3 linked regions of the Stegostoma tigrinum genome follow. The protein of the gene in region 1 interacts with the protein of each later gene in a biochemical or structural test. Links are inferred from orthologs where the notes say so. Each region holds a gene or a part of one and is shown on either strand. Other genes may lie near its edges. The genes, in order: eps15, sgip1a and tfap2a.

Region 1 (7,405 bases):
TTTCAGGGATGTGGAGGAGAGGATTGGCAAAATGATTCTTGGCAGGAATGAAAGGAACAGGGTGGTCATTATGGAAGACTTTAACTTCCCTAACATTGACTGGAATTGCTATAGCTTTAGTACGTCAGATGGATCAGTTTTTGTCCAATATGTGCAGGATGGTTTCCTGACACAGTATGTCAAAGGGCTAACAAGAGGGGAGGCCACACTGGATCTGGTACTTGGTAATGAACCAGGCCAGGTGTTTGATTTAGTGGTAGGTGAGCACTTTGGAGAGAGTGACCATAATTTGGTCATGTTTAGTTTAGCGATGGAAAGGGGTAGGAACATGCCACAGGGCAAGAGTTATAGAAGGGGGAAGGGTAATTATAATGCGATTAGGCAAGACTCAGGAGGCATAGAATGGGGTAGCAAAATGTAGGGGATGGGGACAATCGAAATGTGGAGCTGGTTTAAGGAACAGATATTGCATGTCCTTGATAGGTATGTCCCTGTCAGGCAGGGAGGAAGCGATAAGGTAAGGAAACCGTGGTTTACTAAAGAAATTGTATCTCTTGTTAAGCGGAAGAGGGAGGCTTATGTGATGATGAGACAAGATAGCTCAGATGAGGCTATGGAGAATTACAGATTAGCTAGGAAGGGTTTAAAGAGAGAGTTAAGAAGAGCAAGGAGGGGATATGAGCAGACATTGGCAGGTAGAATAAAGGAGAACCCTAAAGCTTTCTATAGGTATGTGAGGAATAAGAGGATGACTAAAGTAGGAATAGGGCCAGTCAAAGACAGAAGTGGGAAGTTGTGTATGGACCCTGTGGAGATTGGAGATGTCATAAATGAATATTTCTCATCTGTTTTCACTCAGGAAAAGGAGAATATTGTAGAGGAGAAGACTGAGTTACAGGCTACTAGAATTGAAAGGATTAAGGTTAGTAAGGAGGAGGTGTTATCAATTCTAGAAAGTGTGAAGATAGATAAACGACCTGGGCCAGATGGGATTTTTCTGAGGATTCTCTGGGAAGCAAGGGTGGTGGAGCCTTTAGCCTTGATCTTTGAGTCCTCATTTAGTACCAGAGGACTGGAGGATTGCAAATGTTGTGCCCTTGTTCAAGAAGGGCAGTAGAGATGACCCAGGTAATTATAGACCTGTGAGCCTTACGTCTGTTGTAGGAAAAGTTTTGGAAAGGATTATAAGAGATAGGATTTACAATCATCTAGCAAGCAACAATTTGATTGGAGATAGTCAACATAGATTCGTAAAGGGCAGGTCGTGTCTCACAAACCTCACTGAATTTTTTGAGAAGGTGACCAAGCATGTGGATGAAGGTAGGGCAGTTGACGTGGTGTACATGGACTTCAGTAAAGCCTCTGATAAGGTTCCACATGGTAGGCTATTGGAGAAAATACGGAGGCATGGGATTGAAGGAGATTTAGCAGTTTGGATTAGAAACTGGTTTTCTGCAAGAAGGCAACAAGTGGTGGTTCATAGAAAATATTCAGCCTGGAATCCGGTTACTAGTGGTGTGCCTCAAGGATCTGTTTTGGGATCACTGCTATTTGTGATTTTTATAAATGACTTGGACACAGGCATAGGTGCTTGGGTTAGTAAGTTTGCAGATGACACTAAAATCGGTGGAGGGGTGGACAGCGTGGAAGAATATTGCAGGTTGCAGGGAGACTTGGATAAACTACAGAATTGGGCTGAAAGGTGGCAAATGGAGTTCAATGCAGATAAATGTGAGGTGATTAACTTTGGGAAGAATAATAGGAAGGCAGAATACTGGGTCAATGGAAAGATTCTTGGTTGTGTGGACGTGCAGAGGGATCTCGGTGTTCATGTACATAGATCGCTGAAAGTTGCCACTCAGGTTGATCGTGCTGTTAAGAAGGCTTACAGTGTGTTAGGTTTTATTGGTCGAGGGATTGAGTTCCAGAGTGGTGATGTCATGCTGCAACTGTACAAAACGCTAGTGCGGCCTCACTTGGAATGTTGCATGCAGTTCTGGTCGCCCCATTACAGGAAGGATGTGGAAGCATTGGAAAAGGCGCAGAGGAGATTTATCAGGATGTTGCCTGGTCTAGAGCAAAGGCCTTATGAAGAAAGGCTGAGGGACCTGGGTCTGTTCTCATTGGAGAGAAGAAGACTAAGAGGGGATTTAATAGAGACATACAAGATGATCAGAGGATTAGATAGGGTGGACAGTGAGTGTCTTTTTCGGAGGATGATGACGTCAGCTTGTATGAGGGGGCATAGCTACAAATTGAGGGGTGATAGATTTAAGACAGATGCCACAGGCAGGTTCTTTATTCAGAGAGTGGTAAGGGTGTGGAACGCCCTGCCTGCCAATGTAGTTAACAGCCACATGCGGGGCATTTAACAGTCCTTGGATAAGCAGATGAATAATGATGGGATAGTGTAGGGGGATGGGCTTAGATTAGTTCACAGGTCGGCACAACATTGAGGGCTGAAGGGCCTGTTCTGTGCTGTATTGGTCTATGTTCTATGACACTGGGGCAGATGAAAAGCCATGAGTAACTCTCCTGACAGCTATTGTACCTGCAGCTTTTTCAGTTATTAGGACCCTAACTTTCCCTGAGGCACCAGATAGTCAAATTTTTCAAGAGTTGATGGATTTAGTTAGGGAATATTTGACATCCCAAGCTACCTCTAATTCCAAGACATAATCGGGTTTTTTTGGCATTTCAAGAATTGGGCACTTCCACACTGGGATTTGTGACAAGGCAGAGGCATGTAACATTGGTCTAACCCTTAATGAGATACTAAGAGGCTGTTTGGTACGTGGGATTAATGATGTAACCATGCAAAAGCACCGATTAGCTGAACCCAAATGACTTCAAACAGGAACTACAGCTGGCTTTGTCATTAGAAAATGCAGCAAGTGGAGCTTCGAGTTTCAGGAAATGCAAATAGAAGTGGACATTATTCCCAGGCTGAATCATTTTGCAGGACACCACTTGAATGAAGGCAACTGTATAGCCTCACTCAGGACATATTCTGAACTGGGGGACTATAGGTCAGCCCACAGCAAACCACGACCAAACAGCTAACATTCTCTTCAAATTGAGGCCAGCAAGCCATTGTCGATGCTGCCAGTATGTAGATGTGAGATAGCAGAAGCGCATCACTTGTTCTGAACCAAGTAACAGAACTCATAGGCCAATATCCACAGAGTTGCTAATGGGAAGCAAACATCTGCAACAGGTTAAATCTGATCTTCCTGGAGCTGTGGGGGAAGCATAAAACGGCATCAAGAACAACAAGGCCAGACACAAGACTCTGTGAAGCAAGGGAGACAGTTTACTTCAGGGGATGAAGTTTGGTACTGAAACCACAGAAATGGCCCTGCATGGGTAAGACACATGGTCCACACGAAGTCAGGTCCTATGATATAGAAAGAGATAATGGGAACTGCAGATGCTGGAGAATTCCAAGGTGATAAAATGTGAGGCTGGATGAACACAGCAGGCCAAGCAGCATCTCAGGAGCACAAAAACTGACGTTTCGGGCCAAGACCCTTCATCAGAGAGCCTCTGATGAAGGGTCTAGGCCCGAAACGTCAGCTTTTGTGCTCCTGAGATGCTGCTTGGCCTGCTGTGTTCATCCAGCCTCACATTTTATTATCTATGATATAGAAAGTTTGGATAGGTGACGTGGTCCTGAACATATGGACCACATGAAAGATGCAAACTCACAAAAGAAGCAGGGGCGAAACATAGCTGGCCCCTCAGATAACCAGAAAGGCTGTTGAAGCCAGTGGGTTCTTCCTCCTCCATCCAGCATTGAAGAAACCTCAGTCGGAGATGGACAAAGTCGATGTTGCAGCGTCAACACCTTTACTGCTTAGAAAAAAAGGACAAATTTCTTTCAAGATGCTTCGGGCACAAGAGGCATGCTATGGTCTGGTACATGTTGCCCGTATCGGAGGTTGTGTTGGAGGAACCAGGCCCAGTGCAAAAATGCACGGAGAGGCTACAAGGCAAAAACAGGCCTATGTCCCAGAATTTACAGGGGAGCGATGTAGTGATAATAATGTCATCAGTTCTGTTCACTCTGAGACTGGCTCTGTGGATTGGACTAGTTGCAAATAATAGGCTTGTGTAAATAAAGGGTGACTAGGTGACGGCATGCCGGCCTCTGTGGAGCTATGTCAGAAAGATTCAGAGATAAATGATCACCAGGCCAGCAATTGGCCGCACTTGCTCTTTAGTCACTGGCATGGGTTTGAGATTGGTTTTGGCACGCGAAGAGATGTGAGTTTACAGACATTCACACAGAGAGATACACTTCGACAGAAAATTTATTCCACCTCGAAATCCAGTGCCAGGTTTTGTTTGTGATGTTAAAGTTCACGAACTTTTGTTCAGTGCATGATGGGCTAAAGTGTAGGAAACAGCATGGCGGGGCATTTTACACTCACTCAGGTAAAAACCAGATCTTATTATTTAAAACACCGAGGCTGTTCGTTTTAATTTATTTATGTTAGCGAGAGTGGAAACAAAGAGTGGGGGTGGGGTCTGGTTGGAGAAATACGGCTTTTGTGACTGAGAGGAAATGAATTGTTGTGCAGTTGGGGTGCCATTGCACTGGGGCCTGTGAGGCACCAAGAGCCGGGATAAAGGGAACAGTTTGTGGGCGTAGTTTGTGTGAAAGTGCGATTTTGTTTAGGATTTGGAGGATTTGCTGGGCCTCCTTTATTTTTGCGTAAACTCAAGCGGCCAGGAGACTATTGGATGCGGTAGATCGGGCGGTCACTTTATTACGGTTGGGAGGGTGGACCCATGTAGCATTTAAACTGCACCCGGAACATACACTGATGTAAGTTGTAAACAAATGTCTCAAAACTAAGGAAACGGCGTATGCTGGCATTTGAAGCTGATGTCGATTTACCAGTATGTTTCTTTTCTGTAGTATTTCTCATTACATAAGAACACAACGTAAGAACGAGGAGCAGGGGTAGGCCACCCAGCCCCTCGAGCGTCCGCTCGCCAATCAATCAGATCATGGCTGATCTTTTTGAGTCTCAAGTCCACGTACCCGCCCGTACACCATAACCCTTAATTCCTTTAGTGTTCAGAAATTTATCTAGCCTTGGCCTTAAACACGTTCAACGAGGCTGCTTCACTGGGCAGGGAATTCCACAGATTCGCAATCCTTTGGGTGAAGAAGTATCTCCTGACCTCAGTCCTACATCGGCTTCTCTTTATTTTGAGGCTATGCCCCTAGTCTGAGTTGCACCTGCTGAATGAAACAACCGCCCTGCCTCCTCCATATCTATTCTTTTCATAATCTTCTACTTTTCTATAATATCTCCCCTCATTCTTGTGAATTCCAATGAGTATAATCCCTGATCTTCCTGGAGCTATAGGGGGAGCATGAAACAGCATCAAGAACACCAAGGCCAGATACAAGACTCTGTTTTGTAGAGTTTCAGTTTCTCCTCATAATCCATCCCCTCAACTCTGGAATTCCACTTAACATTTCCTGTCCAGCCTTATTTCCACGCAAGTTGTGCATCATGCACCTTCGTACTTTTATCATTCTCAAACATATGTTATGGTGTGTAGATTACCTGAAAAATGTAACAACATAGAATGGGTACAGTACATGAGGAGGCCATTTGTTCTATCATGTATGTGTCAGCTGTCTGCCAGAGCAACACAGTTAGCCACATGTCTTGTTTGTTTCTCCCTATGGGCCTGCACGTTTTTGGTCTGTAGATAATTATTCAGTTTCATGTTGAAAGCCATGACTGAATATGCCTTCGTCACGTTCTGTGGGAGATACCAGACAATTATTCACCTGCAGCCCTTGGCTAAACTGTGGGCTATCTCCAAGGAACCCTGGCCCCCCCAAAGATGTGACATTCCGGCCTGTCAGTGTGTTGACATGCCCTGGTATCCATTAACCACTTGTAGGCCCTCTAAAACATGCTTTAAGGTGAGCAAATTGCCTAAAAAATGTTATAAAATAGAATCTTGCCTTAATGTTAATCAACTAAGTATAGGCTCTGCATCAGTAGTACCCACTGCATTGTGTCTCTGGTTCAGGAGAATCAAAAGCACTGGAGTGGAGTCCGATAGGTAGTTGTACATGTTCTTTTGAATTTAGTCTATACTGTTGGGAGACAATTGCAGATGTTGGGCAAGTACTTGTCTTTATATCCCACTCAGGCTCTGCAGCCAAATAAAAACAAATGAAGACTTCCTCTTCTCTCTTTAGTTGTGGCACTTGTAGCAAATCTTTGCCTTTCTAGAACTGGCATGTTCCACCATTGAAAGAAATGCTGCTGCTCGTCTCATTTGTCCTCACCAGAGTTATAGAACATAGAACATTACAGCACAGTACAGGCCCTTCGGCCCGTGATGTTGTGCCAGCCTGTCATACCGATCTCAAGCCCATCTAACCTACACTATTCCATGTACGTCCATATGCTTGTCCAATGACGACTTAAATGTACCTAAAGTTGGCAAATCTACTACCGTTGCAGGCAAAGTGTTCCATTCCCTTACTACTCTCTGAGTAAAGAAACCACCTCTGACATCTGTCCTATATCTTTCACCCCTCAATTTAAAGCTATGCCCCCTCGTGTGCACCATCACCATCCTAGGAAAAAGGCTCTCCCTATCCACCCTATCTAACCCTCTGATTATTTTATATGTTTCAATTAAGTCACCTCTCAACCTTCTTCTCTCTAATGAAAACAGCCTCAAGTCCCTCAGCCTTTCCTCGTAAGACCTTCCCTCCAGACCAGGCAACATCCTAGTAAATCTCCTCTGCACCCTTTCCAAAACTTCCACATCCTTCTTATAATGCGGTGACCAGAACTGTACACAATACTCCAAGTGCGGCCGCACCAGAGTTTTGTACAGTTGCAGCATAACCTCTTGGTTCTGGAACTCAATCACTCTATTAATAAAAGCTAAAACACTGTATGCCTTCTTAACAGCCCTGCCAACCTGGGTGGCAAAAGGATCTGTGTACATGGACACCGAGATCTCTCTGCTCGTCTACACTACTAAGAATCTTACCATTAGCCCTGTACTTTGCCTTCCGGTTACTCCTACCAAAGTGCATCACCTCACACTTGTCTGCATTAAACTCCATTTGCCACCTCTCAGCCCAGCTCTGCAGCTTATCTATGTCTCTTGCAACCTACAGCATCCTTCATCACTATCCACAACTCCACCGACCTTAGTGTCATATGCAAATTTACTAACCCATCCTTCTATGCCCTCATCCAGGTCATTTATAAAAATGACAAACAGCAGTGGACCCAACACCGACCCTTGCGGTACACCACTAGTAACTGGTCTCCAGGATGAACATTTCCCATCAACTACCACCCTCTGTCTTCTTTCAGCAAGCCAATTTCCAATCCAAACTGCTATA
Region 2 (7,462 bases), about 13 Mb from region 1:
ATCTCCTCCTCCCACATGCCCTGCCCTTCCCCCAAGCCTCGCTATCTGTTCTGTTTTTGATATTACCCCGATAGGCTCATTTGAAACAGGGCCAATGGGCCAGCCACAACAGAGGGTATTGTCACCGTGGCATTAGTACAATGAAGGAGCAGAGAAACTGAGGAAGGAGCAAATACATCAGCAAGGCCAGGACCAGCAGCTGCCAAACAGCCTCCACCTGAAGAAGTTGCAGCTAAATGTCCCCTCAGGATGTGAAGGTGACCCAGAGTTTGGCATCCTCGAGATGACTGAGGAGCAGCGCTGCCACAGACTGAGGATGCTCTGGGACATCACTGCAGAACCTTCTCATCTGCTATGGCAGGACCTGCAACCTGAAGTGATACATGGTTATCCTATCCCACAGGCAATCCAGGTGACAGCTGCATTAAAGTTTGATGTAACTGGCTGTTTCCAAGACTTTACTGACGATCTTACTGTGAACTCTCAATCCTTGGCTCATGAATGTATCAAAGCCATTATTCATATAATTTGTGTCAGACCATACCATTTCATCTGGTTTCCCCATCATGTGGTCAGTGCTACAGGCTGGTTGGTCGGCTTTGCCCACATTGCCAACTTCCCACAGATGTAACGTGCTAAAGACTGGATATACATTGTATTGAAAGTGCTACATCATAAGTTGGCAGACTTGATCAACAGAAAGGTTTCCATTCCATCAATACACAAGCATCTGTAAGCATTAGTATCACATTTCAGAAGTCTGAACCAGGCTCCCTGGAAACAGCCATGATTCCCACATCCTTGAGAACTCTTCTGTTGCTGCATTACTACAAAGGCTGCATAACTAATAAGGATAACCATGGCTGACAGTTCCATTAAGTAACGCCCCAACTAGGCTGAGTGTAGATACAAAACAGCCCAACCCTCCACTGGAGCCATCATAAAGCAATTTCTAGGCCTCCTGTAGATGAAGTTCCAATGCTTTTGGACAGGCTTTTCAGCCTGGACAGTATGCTGCAAAATTCTAGCACAACTGGAGCAGGTAAAGAGGCGAGCTAATGGATGCTGAAGAGCTGGAAGGGCACTGCCTATTTTCCAAGGAGGAAGATGAGGACATTGAGTGGGTGGAACATCACCTCCACAATAGAGGGGTATTAAGTCAAGACTGCCAATCCAGATAGGATTTAATTGAAAGATTAATAGAAACTCAGCAGGTCGGGCAGCCTCTGTGGAAAGAGAAACAGAGTTAGTGCTCCAGGTCCAGCAACCTTCTCTAGCAATTTCTTTGTATTAATTTAGGATTAAATTAATATCAGGTTCCAATAAATGTGAGCTGGGTGAGGTCAACGTTCAGTAATTGGCTGAAAATCTGTTATTCAAAAGGCAAGCAGCCTCAGTTTATTCCCAGAAGTAAATGTTTCTCTCTTCATTTGTCTCTTCCATGCTTTTCCAGTTGTTCAATGAAAGTTAACATTTTCCTCTGTTTGGAAGCATTCCAGCATGTGATGCTTCCACACTGAACAATGACATGTTACGCTGACTGTTGGGGAAAGTGCAGGGCTCCCTTAGACAGGGGTCTAAACTGGTATGGTGCTCAGGATGGGTAGCCTCTGGAGTTGATATTCTTGTAACTGCAGATACAATACCAGTCAGACAGGTGATGTTGTAAGATAGCAATATAATTACTGATGTGAGAAGCTGTTTGCAATGCAGCGTCCCAGGGGCCACTTAAATGCCCTCAGATGCTTTTGTGTTTTCTTCTTCTCCCATTGTGTGATATGTGAAGTTTCTGGCTGGTAGTAATTGTCCTGGTACACAGCTGGACTTTAAACATGTTCCCAGGAAGCGCAAACCCCAGCAGTATCAAGTTCTTCTGTCACTGGTGAACGGAAGACAGGGCAAGAGTGGAGCCACCAAATTATGGTGCACGCGATGAGGTGAGCGGTGTAAGGTAACTCAATAGAAAGCTTCAGTGACATGCCCCAAAGTTCACGCTTAGTTGATTTTTGGTAAAATTTAGCCCACATTCACCACCCACTGCGCTCAATCAGCTACATAGCACCAAACCAATCCACATTCATAAGTGTTGGTGATAGGTAGCAACAATATTTATTTTGTCACTGGTGTGTTTGCAAACATAGTCCCTGAACTAACGCCAAAACACAGATTATAGCCTTGTCATAAATAGATTATTGTTAGTGTATTCTTGCTGCTAACAAATTGGCTGCCATGCTTCTTGCATTTCAGCAGGGAATGTTATATAAAAAGTCCTTCTTTGGCAGTAAAATGCTTTGGGGAATTATGTGATAGTGAATGGTGTATTACACAGCTAAGTCTTTCTCCCCTTCCAAGACATATCTCCCCCCTTTTTACCTGACACAGTAATTCCTGCTGCCTTTGAACACAGTGGTTTCTCTTGTTTATTTCATACAAAAGTGTTTCAGACATCTGATTGCAGGTAGCAGTCAAATGATTTACAATTCTGCAGGATAATGTGTTGCATTTGACCTAAAAGTGCTTAATATTGGCATTGGGTGTGGGAACTGTTATCCTAGTATACAACACTGGCATCTTCTCCCTTGATCAGTACAAATAACTGAAACTTTTAATTTATTAAAAATGTACTGCAGAACGGGGATTTTAAAATGCACATGACCCTTAGTTGATCAATTTGCACTAATCTCAGGTTTTAGCATTGGATGAGACAATGAATGCAAACCAATGTTCCAGCATGCAGTCCATTTAGGTTAATGGACTTTCACCTCCTTCTTGAGTGGATGCCTTCCCTCCAGCTGAAGGTGCCAGAAAGAGCATGTTAAAAAGTCACTGCAATCTGGAGAGGGAGGGCTCCTTTCCAGACATCCCAAATGAAACAACTGGGCCTCTGATTTCCTGAGGCTGTACAATGCCCTGATTCTCACTCTTGCATTTGCTTGCTGAATGTTCTTGGCTGGTTACATTTAGGCTCCTGTGGAATCTTCTCAGGCCCCATTCACCCAGCACCGGTAGATTAGCATTGGCTGTCCTTTGAAATGGCCTGCATCCTTTCCCTCTTGCAAGAAATATCATGCCTGATCCTGGAGAAGTCTCTTAATTTGAACAATTCTCGCATTAAAATAATATTTCTATCTTACAACATAGCACCTTGGAATTGTTATAACAATTTACTTGCCGCTAATAGAACATAGAACATAGAACAGTACAGCACAGAACAGGCCCTTCAGCCCACAATGTTGTGCCGACCATTGATCCTCATGTATGCACCCTCAAATTTCTGTGACCATATGCTTGTCCAGCACTCTCTTAAATGACCCCAATGACCTTGCTTCCACAACTGCTGCTGGCAACGCATTCCATGCTCTCTCAACTCTCTGTGTAAAGAACCCGCCTCTGACATCCCCTCTATACTTTCCTCCAACCAGCTTAAAACTATGACCCCTTGTGTTAGCCATTTCTGCCCTGGGAAATAGTCTCTGGCTATCAACTCTATCTATGCCTCTCATTATCTTGTATACCTCAATTAGGTCCCCTCTCCTCCTCCTTTTCTCCAATGAAAAGAGACCGAGCTTGTTCGAAAATTACTTCAAATCAAGTCCATGTAAAGTTTCAGTCATAAGTTTCTGATTAGTTTGAGAAAGCCAGGTTAAAAGGCCAAGGCCAAGGTTTCAGCATACGACATTGAAAAGAATCAAAGAAAATAAATAAATTGCAAAATAGGAGCCGTTGATCTCAACTATAAGATGATGGATAAACTCACAAAACGTGAGGTGCCTTAACATTAGGTCCCCTCCAGATACCTTTACTCATGCCCTTCGCATGAATGAGTTAATGGCACGCACCAAAAGACCAATAAACCTGACCGACTGCCATGCATACAACAGGTTTCACTATGTGGTGTGTAGTAGGCTTGCAGAATGCCCAGAACGTCTGCCTGACTGGCACCTGAAGGAGGACGCCCACATAAAGACAGTCAGGTTTATTTGCATGACCTGAGTATTATCATGTTATTTGGCAAGTGGAGAAATTCAGAAGCCCATCTGCGGGAGAGAGCTGGTACGAATGCATTCAGTGGGTTGTCCAGGGCAACAAGCAGAAGAACAGCAGATGTCAAAATTCACCTTTGAAAAGATTGTTGACAGTGGGTGCAATTGCACAGACAGCTATTATACCCATCCAACAAACACAAAATTCCCTGTAAAATTATTTTAGAACTTTTTTTATCAATGTTGCTCGTGAGCCCCTAAGATTATTTGTTCTGCTCTGTGCAGCAGCAGTCCCTGTTCTCACTAAATGTCACGTTTTCCTACACCAGGAGGCAGTCGTCATAATATATTTCAAAAGACCCAAATTGCTAGAGATATTGATACTCGTGCCAGCTGCTGATGAGAGTGCCAGCTGCACCATGGAGACTTGCTTGAAAACATCACAGGGTAGGAAACAATAAAACTTTAATACGTTTTTAACTCACTGGAGAAACTGGATAACAGAGAACAGTCAAATCTGTCCCGAGAAACTCTGCACTTTACTGATTGATGGGCAAATGACATTTGTTAAAACTGAGAGGCTTGATAGGCTGGGGCATTTTACCCTGGAGTGTAGGTGACTGAGGGGTGACCTTATAGAGGTTTATAAAATCACGAGGGCATAGATAAGGTGAATAGCAAAGGTCTTTTCCTCAGGGTGGGAGAGTTCTAAAGTAGAGGGCATATTTTTAAGGTGAGAGGATAAAGATTTAAAGGGGACCTGAGGGGCAACATTTTCACACAGAGGGAGGTTTGTACGTGAAACGAACTGCCGGAGGAAGTGGTAAGTGCAGGTAGAGTTACAACATTTAAAAGACATTGGGATAGGTAAATGAATAGGCAAGGTTTAGAGGGATTGAGGCAAAACACAGGCAAGTGGGACTAGTTTAGTTTGGGTAACTTGGTCAGCAGGGATGAGTTGGATCGAAGGGCCTGTTTCCATACTGAATAATTTTATGACTCTATGATTCAAAGTACAAGTGTGAACTAGAACGATTGCATTAAAATCAATGTACAATCTTTTACAGAACTGTATTAATGAAGTGTTTTGAAATATTTCATTGCAAAATTTTAAACAGCTTGCATCCATATTGAAATGCTTCTGAAGTCTGTCCTAGGTTCATTGACATTTTTTTATTCAAAAAAAATACTATATTCGTAGCATATACAAAAAATAAACATATTTACATACCTACTCGGTCATGCTAGCCACTCCGGGTTACCCTAGGGGTATGTACACCAACTAAAAGAAAAAAACAAAAACAAAGAAAAAACCCCGGCGGTTGTCTACCCGCACAGTCCCTGTTGGCCCCCTGACCAGTTGGGGAAGGTGCCAGCTGAGCCCAGTTACCAAATAGGGCCCATGTTACATTCCGGCTGAGGGGTCTCATACAGTGGTCTTTCACCACCGCGCCTTGGCAGCGTCTGCCCCAAGACTTAGCGTGTACGTCCTAGGTTCATTGACACTGATTTAATAGTAGAGCAAAGATGCAAATTAAAGGTGTGAATTTTAACAGTTGTGATATTTCCTGGTTTCAAAACCCATTAAGGAGGAAGTGTCCCAGAAGTTGGAATTTTCTTTCTGGAGTGGCTGGGCACTCTGGGAGTTAGGATGGGCAGGTACCAGGTGCCAAGGCAGGCTGGATGGAAGACCTGTGTTGATGCTCTACCATCGTGGAGGAATTTAAGAACAATAGTAAAGCACAGAACTGTCCTCTAGTCTTCACCTCCCCCTACTCCCATCTCTCAGAACACTCTGCATACCCTATACTTGCGATCTCATGTTCCCAAATTCCCAATACTTAAAGGACAGAAGTTTTAAATACCTTGATAGCTTTACAGTTCTTTTTGATGCTATTGAAGATTCCAATGACCTTTAAAGTTAATGGATTTATGAATTTTAAAGTTTTTGAGAAGATTTCTAATACGGGTTGTGGATGAGGTTGTAGAATTGCTCGCTAAGACAATGTCTTTGGTTGCAGATATTTTGTTGTCCTGCTAGGTAACATCATCAGTGCACCTCCAGTGAAGCATTGGTGTCCAATCCCACTTGCTATTTATACACCTTCGTTTGCTGGGGAGGAGGTTGGCAATACTTCCGGTTTTGTTTTTCAGTGGTTTTTATATCGAGTCCAATTCAATGTATTTATTGATGGAGTTCCAGTCGGAATACCAGTCCTCCAGGAATTCTCTGGCATGTCTCTGTTTGATTGTGCTATGGACGTGTGTCCCAGTCAAATTTGTGTCTTTCTTTGTCCATGTGTATTGAGATCAGTGAGAATCGGCCGTGTCTCTTGGTGGCTAGTTGGTGTCCACGTATCCTTATTGTCAATTTTCTTCCAGCTTGGCCTATGTAATGTTTCTCACAGTCCTTGCATGATATTTTGTATATTATGTTATTTTTATCGTCTATGGTTATGGGATCCGTTACATTCAACCTAAAAGATCGATCTAGCCAAAAGGACAATTCCCACACTGGTAGCTGAATCAGAAAGGCACTCCATGACACCAACAGCATCAACAAGGACAGCATCTTAAAACTGCTGGATCTGTGCCTCTTCGCCTTCCATGACTGTATATTCAAGCAAGTCAACGGGGTCCCCCATAACAGGACTAATTGCAGAAGCGGTTAGAAAGAACAGCGCTCCGCATTATACAAAACAAACTCTGGGTCCGCTGTGTCAATGACACCTTCGTGATTATCGAATGCGCAAGACTAGAAGAAAACTACCAAAGCTTTAAACAACGTCCTCCTGGAATAAAATTCACAAAAGAAGAAGAGAACAATAACTGACTATCCTTCCTAGACATTATGGTGGAATGTAAGAACAACGTGGAACTCCAGACTAGCGTATATAGAAAGACTACACATGTAGACAAAATACTTAATTACTCCAACAACCACCTGAATGCCCATAAATGGAGCTGCACCTTGACATTATTCAAATGGGCCACAAAACATTGCAGCAATCCAGGGGCACTTGTACAATGTTTTGAAAAGGAATGGATGCCCAAAAAACAGTCTGTCATTACCTCCGTGGCAGACCGCAACAAGAAGACATGACACAGCCAGACACACCGGTCACTCTACCATACATCAGAGACATATCAGAGATGACCACAAGTCTACTCAGACCCCTAGGTATCAGGGTAGCCCACAACCCAACAACTGCGCTGCAACAGCTACGGATGAGCATAAAGGATCCCATACCAACAACCAGTAAAATTAATGTAGTAAAGGAAATACCACACAAGGACTGTGAGAAATATCACATCGTCCAAACTAGAAGAAAACTGACAATAAGGATACATGGACAGTAATTGTTTGTTATAACTGGATAGGTTTTATTTACCATGTTAAAGGAAACTGTGCAATTCATGGTAGAGAAAAAAAGAGATAGGACAAGAAAAGTGAGAGGAGGTGAGAAACATGGGCCAAT
Region 3 (8,042 bases), on another chromosome or scaffold:
CTCCTCCTTCCACAACATCCCTAGTCATTGCAGATGACTCTGTCTATTGTAGGCGCCTGAAGACCAGGAAGCTCCCCCAAATTCACCGAGGTGTGACTCCTTTTTGTCATGACCAGCCTTTGTTCGTGTTGTTGGTTGTCATGATGAGGTCTGGTAGCCGATGGAGCTTCGTGGTACATGGCTGCTGTAAATCCATCAGTGCTGAGATAGGCGTTTTTTTTGAAGCTGCAAGGTACTGACATTCCTGAGGAGTACGCAGGCGCGGACAGGTGGCACCCAGCACTTTATGACCAGGTGAGATGATCCTGGAGAGGTAAAAGGAGAAATTACTCAACAGCTCACAGATCTTTTGAGGACACCACGGACAACTCCAGGCGATATGTCAATTCTGGGCAAAATGGGGGACTGGCAGGTACGTGAACTTATCTATTAACGGCACTCCTTTGGCATGATTACAGAAGTCCCAGTAGCCATTGAAAGTTGCTGCCTATTCCAGCGGTGCCTATATTTCATTATGTAGACGAACGTCATGGATAAAGTCAGTGAATTGGGACAAATAATTACAATTTGCAAATAAGTCAATGAGTCCAAACTTTCTATCAGTACTTACATTGTGTTTACCTGCATGACGCAACTAATACAAACTCTATAAAGTCTCAGGTTGAAAAAAGTTTAGATATCCAATTTACACTACTACAGGCGAAACCCTTGGTTTAGTTGATTTGTTTGAATGGGCCCTGAAAAGGTTAACTCGATAAATACGCCTCAAACCTTTCTGCCTTTTCCCTTTTGCGATGTGATTTGATTTTCTTGTCAGTTCACTATCGGCGCTGTGCTCCAGATACATAGAAAGCAGCCCACTGTAATCATCACCATGTTACAACTTTTCCTAACTTGGGGTCAATCACAATGAGATTACAAACAAGAAAGATTAGCCTCCAGTTTAACGAGCGATTATGTGACTGTTGTATTAGTCTAACATGTTCGTAGAACAACGCTAATCTTGGGGAAATAACTCGTTTTCTCAGGACAGATTAAATTTCATTTCTTCTTTCATATTTTATTTTTAAACACTTTTTTTCATATTGAAGAGTGGCAGTTTGTCTATCAACTCCCTTTTCATAAACACACAACTTGTTTCAGGTTCATTGGAAATTCTACTAAATAGACAATAACTTTTACAACTGGATTTCGGCAGCAATGGATTTAACTTTATTTGGTGTATTATTAAACATTTGAAGTTTAGAACCAATAGAGTATCAATACAAATATATTTCTGTGAAGCCTATGTGCTATTTGCTCGGTACAAAACTTGTAACCTAATTCCATTGTTCCATGGTTCCTAGATTTTCTCAAAGATTGAAGGTAGTCTGTAACAATGTGAGATAACAAGGTGTAGAGCTGGATGTTGCTTGTGGGCTCCAAATCAAGAGTCATGTTATCTATATAATTTTCCAAACATTTCAGTGTATTTTATAAACTGGAATTATGTACGACACAAATCTAACTTTGCTGCAATAATAATATTTAAAAAGTTAGAACACTTTTGGCGGACCTAAAGCTTTGAAATAAGGGGATATTCTGTCTCAGCTGACACAAAAAGACGTGCATTGAAAAATGAACTTGTTAGATGCTGAATATAAATACAGGTATTTATCATGGTAGGATTTATTGAAATCCATTGTTCAATACAAGAAACATAACGACAGTAACATTCAAACAGAAGTATTTGCTGTACTTTAAAGCCATTCTCTAACTTGTTTATGCTTTCACCCGCGAAACGAAAAAAAGTCAAAATATCTGAAGCACGCGTATAGGCCAGGCGCTAAAATGCTGTAGGATAGCTAGGTCCTAAAAGTCCTCTTCACCTGTGCACCAAGTTAAAATATTTAAATGCACAAATATCACGTACTTACACGTTGATTTAATAATCAATGCAGACTGTAACAGGTGTTTTTCTTTTTGCCCTATTTTGGAAAAAAAGTCAGAATGGGCGAATATTTTGAAAAAGATCAATAAGGAGAAGATAGTATTGTGAGTAATGGCGTTTCACCATCGTTCGCACACTTTAACGGAGAGGACTACATTTATTCTAGTCCACGGTAACAAGACCTTGTAACCAAATAAACAGATGTGAATATTTTCCTCGCCACAAAAGAAATCGCTGGCATTTTAAAACGAGGCGAACCTTGTTATGGTTACATGTGTATAGAATTACATTTAATTAAAAGAAGTGCAAATTGGGAGGGGAGGAGTTGGAATACATTTCACCGGTTTAGGCTGCTCAGAAACTGCTCGACAAAAGCAGAAATAAAAACAGCAAAGCACCGCTCTCCTGTTAAAAAGTGCTTCCATTCGACAGGAGCATATATTTTAATTATTCATTGTATTTTGCTATAGCGATCGATTAGAAGTTAATTTAATGTATGATTCTCAGATAAACTCATTTACTATATTCTTATACTCCACTAGTCTGCCAGCACAGAAGTGAACATTAAATGATTTCTAAATTAACTAGCATCGGTTTATATGAGATTAACAAATTTTCATTTGAAAATGGAGATGTGGAAAATATCTATTCTTTAAAAGAATCGACATTTGTACACAGGTAAAATAGAAAAGCTGCAGGTTCAGTGCTTTAAATCAATGATCTTGCAAACTCGTTATCTCTTTTAATGCACAGCGTTATATTAAGAGGTAACACCCCCTTCAACAGTTCGAATGAAAGTGGGAGATCACAGCTCATGCAAGCAGCTTGTAATGAATAAGTGCTTCACAGTAGAAAGTGAGCAAATTGGGGGGAAGAACATCACTTTTAAATGTAAAAATACTGCCGTACTCTTTGCAAGTGACTTAAGAGAACAGAACGCCATCAAGAAAAAAACATAAATTAGATCCGCGAGCTTTTAGAATAATTGCATAAACACGTTTAAAAATCCAGGTACAGCTGAATATTTTCGCCTCTTAGACCCAAAGCTGACTGTGACTCCAGCGATAGAAATAATTTTGTATTTAAATTTCAAAACGTTTGGCCTTTTGGAGTGAGGTGTTCTGAATCGGTGGATATCTCGGTCCTCTAATTAAAGACAATAGATTCTGATGACATCTTTGTCCTCGAGCTCCACCAAAAATGGTAATGAAGATTACCTGTAGACGACGCCTAGATCTAGTCACCCAGATTACCTGGGTTGAGAGTTACCCTTGCACACTTTCTCACCTTCAATGAAAGACAACGGTGCAACCTTGTCTCGATTCATAAATTCATAGTCAGACATTTATTATGGTAATAACTTTAATGAAGCGGTTGTGAAGAGGTTTGCAATGCGACGTTAGTTCAAAATAGTTTGCTTTTTTAGTCCCTGTTTACGTATGAATTGAATAGCTACATAACAAACGATTTCCACCTCAATGGCTGCAGTGCAACACTCTACACGCTTGTTATTTAAAGCCTCCAGATAGCAAAGAAAGGTAAATGCCGAAAGAAATTCTCGCTCACAAACCTAGAATCTCTCAGCTAGGAAACGAGACACAACCGCTGAAAGAATCTAAATACTGGTAGTAAAGCCACCTAATTATCAATGAAATTCAGCACTACTGAGGTTTACCGCTCTGATAAGCGTAAACGTGTCCGGGAAATAACTTGCTGAGGGAATGTTAAAATTGTCTTTACTTTGAATTTTCCTGAGGAGATGCTTTTTAAAAAAAATCAGCAAAAAGCAAGGAAGTCGGAATCAGTTCGGATTCGATTTAACTACATCCATTGTGAAGCTAATATTTAAGCTAAACTGTTTACTTAGTAAAAGGGCATGTAGATGAAGTTGGGTGCTTGATACGCAGAGGAATATGAAGTTAACTGTTGTATCAAAATATGGGTCATATCTATATATTTATTATTGCTATTTAACATAGTGAAAATGTGAAGCACACTTGCCCTGTTATTATAAAATAAACGACTGAGTTCGGTGTTTCAGCAAGATTATTGCCTTCATTGGAAGGCATAATCAGTTAACAACTAAACAGTGCATGTCTGCAGGGAGAAGAGTTAACCAAAGAAAGAAAGTCACATCGTACTCTTGTGCTTTGGTAGAATGGAAGGTAAGGGAGGGTTTAACAAGTAACAGAACAAGTAGCTCCATGTACATTTATAAGCTGTTGTCCACCGCCAATGTATTTATGTTGACGTCCATTGCCAGGCGGCAGGGCAGGCTCTCTACCTGTATCCATTGGAGCAGTAATGTGGTTGAATGAGTGTTTGGCTGGTGTTCATATGCTAATTGGGCTGTTATTAGCGAGTTACTAAAGAGCTGAGAGGGGAACACGATCGACCATTAGAGGGAGATCTCAGAGCACATACAGAGCGCTAAACCAACACACACTCTCTGTACAGGACTGTCCGCTCTCTGAGACATCCAGTCAACCACTTTTACACCAATCCATGAGAATGCTGTGGAAATTAGCGGACAATATCAAATATGAGGAGTGCGAGGTAAGCAATTTCATATTAGATTCAAAAGAATTAAAATGCAGTTTTCACTGCCCCGTCGAATGAAAAAAAGCTGTACATCACTCTCATTTAAACCGAATATTGCAAAGTTTTATTTTAAACATTAAGTATGCTTTCACAGTTATATATTCTATAGAAAGATGCAGCATGACAAAAACAAATGGAGCACTTGGCCATTCGGCTTAATAATATTGTAAAATAATGCAAACGCCGATTGCAGGGTGCGTACCTCAGCTCTATTGTGTGGCAATAGCTCACGTTTGTAAACAATACAGGAATCGAGAGTTAAGAATCGACGTCCACTAGATTAAGCATCTGAAATGATTAATGTTTGGTAAACCTGGCTGAAATCCTTCGCCTATAAATTCTTAACAGAACCCTCAAAAAGGGCCGCGTTGCTGGCGATGTTTGTGAAAGTAAAACCAAAATTAAAACGCTAAGCTTGCTGCACTTATTGTCACAGAACGCCTTGGGAAAGAGCAAGTTTGATCAAGCAAGGAAAAGCAGTTTGCTTTTGTAGTCAATTCTAATGCCTTAGTCCAAATTGTATATCTGTCTGCATTTGTTGCTTAAACGTTCGTAATCCCCACCCCCAACCACCCACCCTACCCCCCACAAAAAAACGCACATGGAAACATTGAAATCTGCACAAAATTGTGTCTTGGTAAAGATGAAAGATTTTTGTGTGGAAATGGCAGAAGGCGTTAGATGGTTCAGGCTAAAAGCCGTGATTGTGCCCGGATTGAGAAAGTTGCTCTAGAGTTTGCGAGGTAATATTTGGGGAGTTGTTTTGAAGTTGTATAGCCAGTCAAACGGGTTTGTACAGCAGGCTAGAAGGCAGTTCACACCACGGGCTAAACCAAGCGGCCGTTTAGTTTCACTTTATTTTTTTCAAAAACGCGGGGAGGAAATTAATAAAAAAAATATAAGAATCCAAGAAAAGTATGAAGGGTCGGCGCGAGCTTCCAGCGGAGTAGGTTTACGATCAGAAGTGAAATCCGTTTGTTTGGAGCCGCTTTCGAGTTGAGTTTAGACGAGAGTTGTTTTTTTAGGATCGCAGTAGGGGAGCAGCTTGCGTAAAAGTGCGTGAAAACGAATCAGGGCTTTGGAGACTCCATAGTGTCTCTGTCGCTCCCTCTGTCTCTTAACTTTTAACCCATTGCACGATGGATCAGACTACTAGTGACCCAGGATCAGGGCAGCAGTCACCTCCGGATAAAGAGCTGAAAAGGAAGAGAGCTGAGAGCGCAGGTAGTCGCTCTCCAGCCAGGAAGCGAGTGGCCGCCGACATGCCTTTGGCGTTTGCTGGATTCTCACACGATAACGAGGTGCAAATTCCTTCCCGCATCACACTCTTTCTTTCCTTCCCCTCTTTCTCTCTGTCTCTCTCTCTCCCCCCTCTGACTCTCACCATTCCTGCTCCCCTTCTCTCTCCCTCTCACTTTCGCATGCCCTCGATCACTTGAAAATGTTCTCTTCTTCCCTGTGATTCGTCAGAAACAGCAATGTGTGCCCCTCTATTCTCTCTCTCTCTCTCTCTGATTAGATACACTGATTCAACGGACGTCATTTATAACAGACACAGCTTTAAGTTGCTTCCTCGCTTCACGCTCGATTTCCGACCATTCTCCCCTTATTAAGTATTCGTGTAATATTAATAGTCATGAATATCTGCTATTATGTGCTGAGTGAAGCCACGGCTCGCCCTTAGAGGAGGAGAAAGAGAGAGAGAAAAAAAAGTTTGAAAAATCTACCGACGTGACGCCCTGAAACTAGACACAATTCTGATCATTTTTTTTTGTTTGTGTGTGTTGTTCCCAATGAAGAAATTTTTCAAGTTCTGATGGATTCGCTTGCCTTCCTCCTGCATGTGACTCCCCGGCGTTGTGATCGTGTTGTAGCTGTATAGTACTGGACTGTTTTTTCCAATTTTCCACCTCTAGGTCTCTCTATTTTTTCCCCCTGACGAACTCAGATCAGACTGCCCGCAGATGTTAGTGCACAGTTTCTCGGCCATGGTGAGTTTCAGTGAGATGCCACTAGGTTTAAAACGAGCCTCCCCCGCCCCCTCCCAAAAACAAAAACTGGTAGCACTTTGGATTGTGAAAATAAAAAAAATCTAGCATACCTCCTTGGAGGATAATATTTTGTTGAATTCTACCCCGTGCGATAATTTACAATTACTAATATGGCCAGTAAAACTTAAGCTTGCCACCGCCAACGAAAGTGTCATACCAGCGATGTTTCTTTAACAAAAAAGAATAAAATAATGTATTTTTTAAAAATTACAACTTTACATGTCTGATTTCATTGCAGGACCGGCATGACGGCACAAGCAATGGGACTCCACGGTTGCCTCAGTTAGGGACGGTCAGCCAGTCTCCGTACCCGACCGCCCCGCCGCTCTCTCACACTCCCAACACGGACTTCCAGCCGCCCTACTTCCCTCCTCCGTACCAGCCCATCTACCCGCAGTCGCAGGACCCCTATTCCCATGTGAACGACCCTTACTCGCTGAACTCGCTGCACCCGCAGCCCCAGCCGCAGCACCCGACCTGGCCTCAGCGGCAGAACCAGGAAGCGGGAATCCTCCACCAGCCCCGCGGGCTGCCCCAACTCGCCGGCCTGGACCCGCGGAGGGAGTACCGACGGCCCGAGGTCCTCCTCCACAGCACCCACGGACTCGACTCCGGCCTCGGGGATACATTGCCTATCCACAGCATCGCACATGCCATCGAGGATGTACAGGTCGGTTCTTTGAAAACCCTATGCAGTTCTTACTTTACACTGCTGCCTTGGTCTATAGTGAACTGTTTTCAAATTAAGGGGAGATTCTCAACCCATTTACCCACCCACCCCTTCACGACCACCTCTGGTAAAATCTGCTTTCGTGAACCCTGCATCTGCTTCAGATTTTGAAAATAAAATTGACAAGTTTAAATTGACAATCAAGCGAAACAAATCTATTTTTTCCAAATGACCAATACATATTAATGTTATGTATTAACATGCATCAAATGAGAGCAAATTTCTCCTCTGCATTGTTAGAAATATAAATTGCGTCTTCCCTTAATTAAATCCAGCACTTGCTTTTTAACGCTATCAGTTTCTCTCATTCATGTAAACAGTTTGGAGTAATGAAATTGTGTGGTGCGCTTTATTCAATATTTCAACTTGATAAAACAGACTTATTCCAATTTGGACTTTGCCCAGAGCTTCAAAATTGGAATCATTAATTTTAAACATATATATAAAATTCTGCATGTGCCTTAATTCCTGCCCCCAGCCCCCGCCCCCAATCCCAACGAGAAAATAAAAAAATCGTTTATTAGCTGTGGCGAGTTGCTGAAAGCTGGTTACAATGCCAGTGGTCATTGTTGAGTTACTGACCCGAGATTGCAAAATACAAAAGGCATGCGTTTAGTTTGTACTAAATTGTTCGTTTTTCAGCGCCGTGGCGAGCTGTGCTTTTAAATTATAATTTGAACTCGTTCCTTCTGCAACAACCTGGAATAATCATTAATGTGTTATTACTTAC

Evidence for each region.
Region 2: the proteins of eps15 (region 1) and sgip1a form a complex in vitro, tested with the Homo sapiens proteins (2 studies listed by BioGRID, with this or other methods). The link is inferred for Stegostoma tigrinum from reciprocal best matches to the Homo sapiens genes EPS15 and SGIP1.
Region 3: the proteins of eps15 (region 1) and tfap2a form a complex in vitro, tested with the Homo sapiens proteins (2 studies listed by BioGRID). The link is inferred for Stegostoma tigrinum from reciprocal best matches to the Homo sapiens genes EPS15 and TFAP2A.

Annotation. Positions count from the first base shown.
Region 1 is NC_081361.1:63,483,813-63,491,217, reverse strand, and holds the start of eps15 (epidermal growth factor receptor substrate 15), read left to right. Parts: upstream 1-4,350; 5' UTR 4,351-4,410; coding exon 4,411-4,437; intron 4,438-7,405. UniProt on the Homo sapiens protein: Involved in cell growth regulation. May be involved in the regulation of mitogenic signals and control of cell proliferation. Involved in the internalization of ligand-inducible receptors of the receptor tyrosine kinase (RTK) type, in particular EGFR.
Region 2 is NC_081361.1:50,747,724-50,755,185, forward strand, and holds the start of sgip1a (SH3-containing GRB2-like protein 3-interacting protein 1), read left to right. Parts: upstream 1-4,387; 5' UTR 4,388-4,402; coding exon 4,403-4,430; intron 4,431-7,462.
Region 3 is NC_081358.1:44,307,843-44,315,884, forward strand, and holds the start of tfap2a (transcription factor AP-2-alpha), read left to right. Parts: upstream 1-5,024; 5' UTR 5,025-5,670; coding exon 5,671-5,832; intron 5,833-6,447; coding exon 6,448-6,522; intron 6,523-6,820; coding exon 6,821-7,252; intron 7,253-8,042.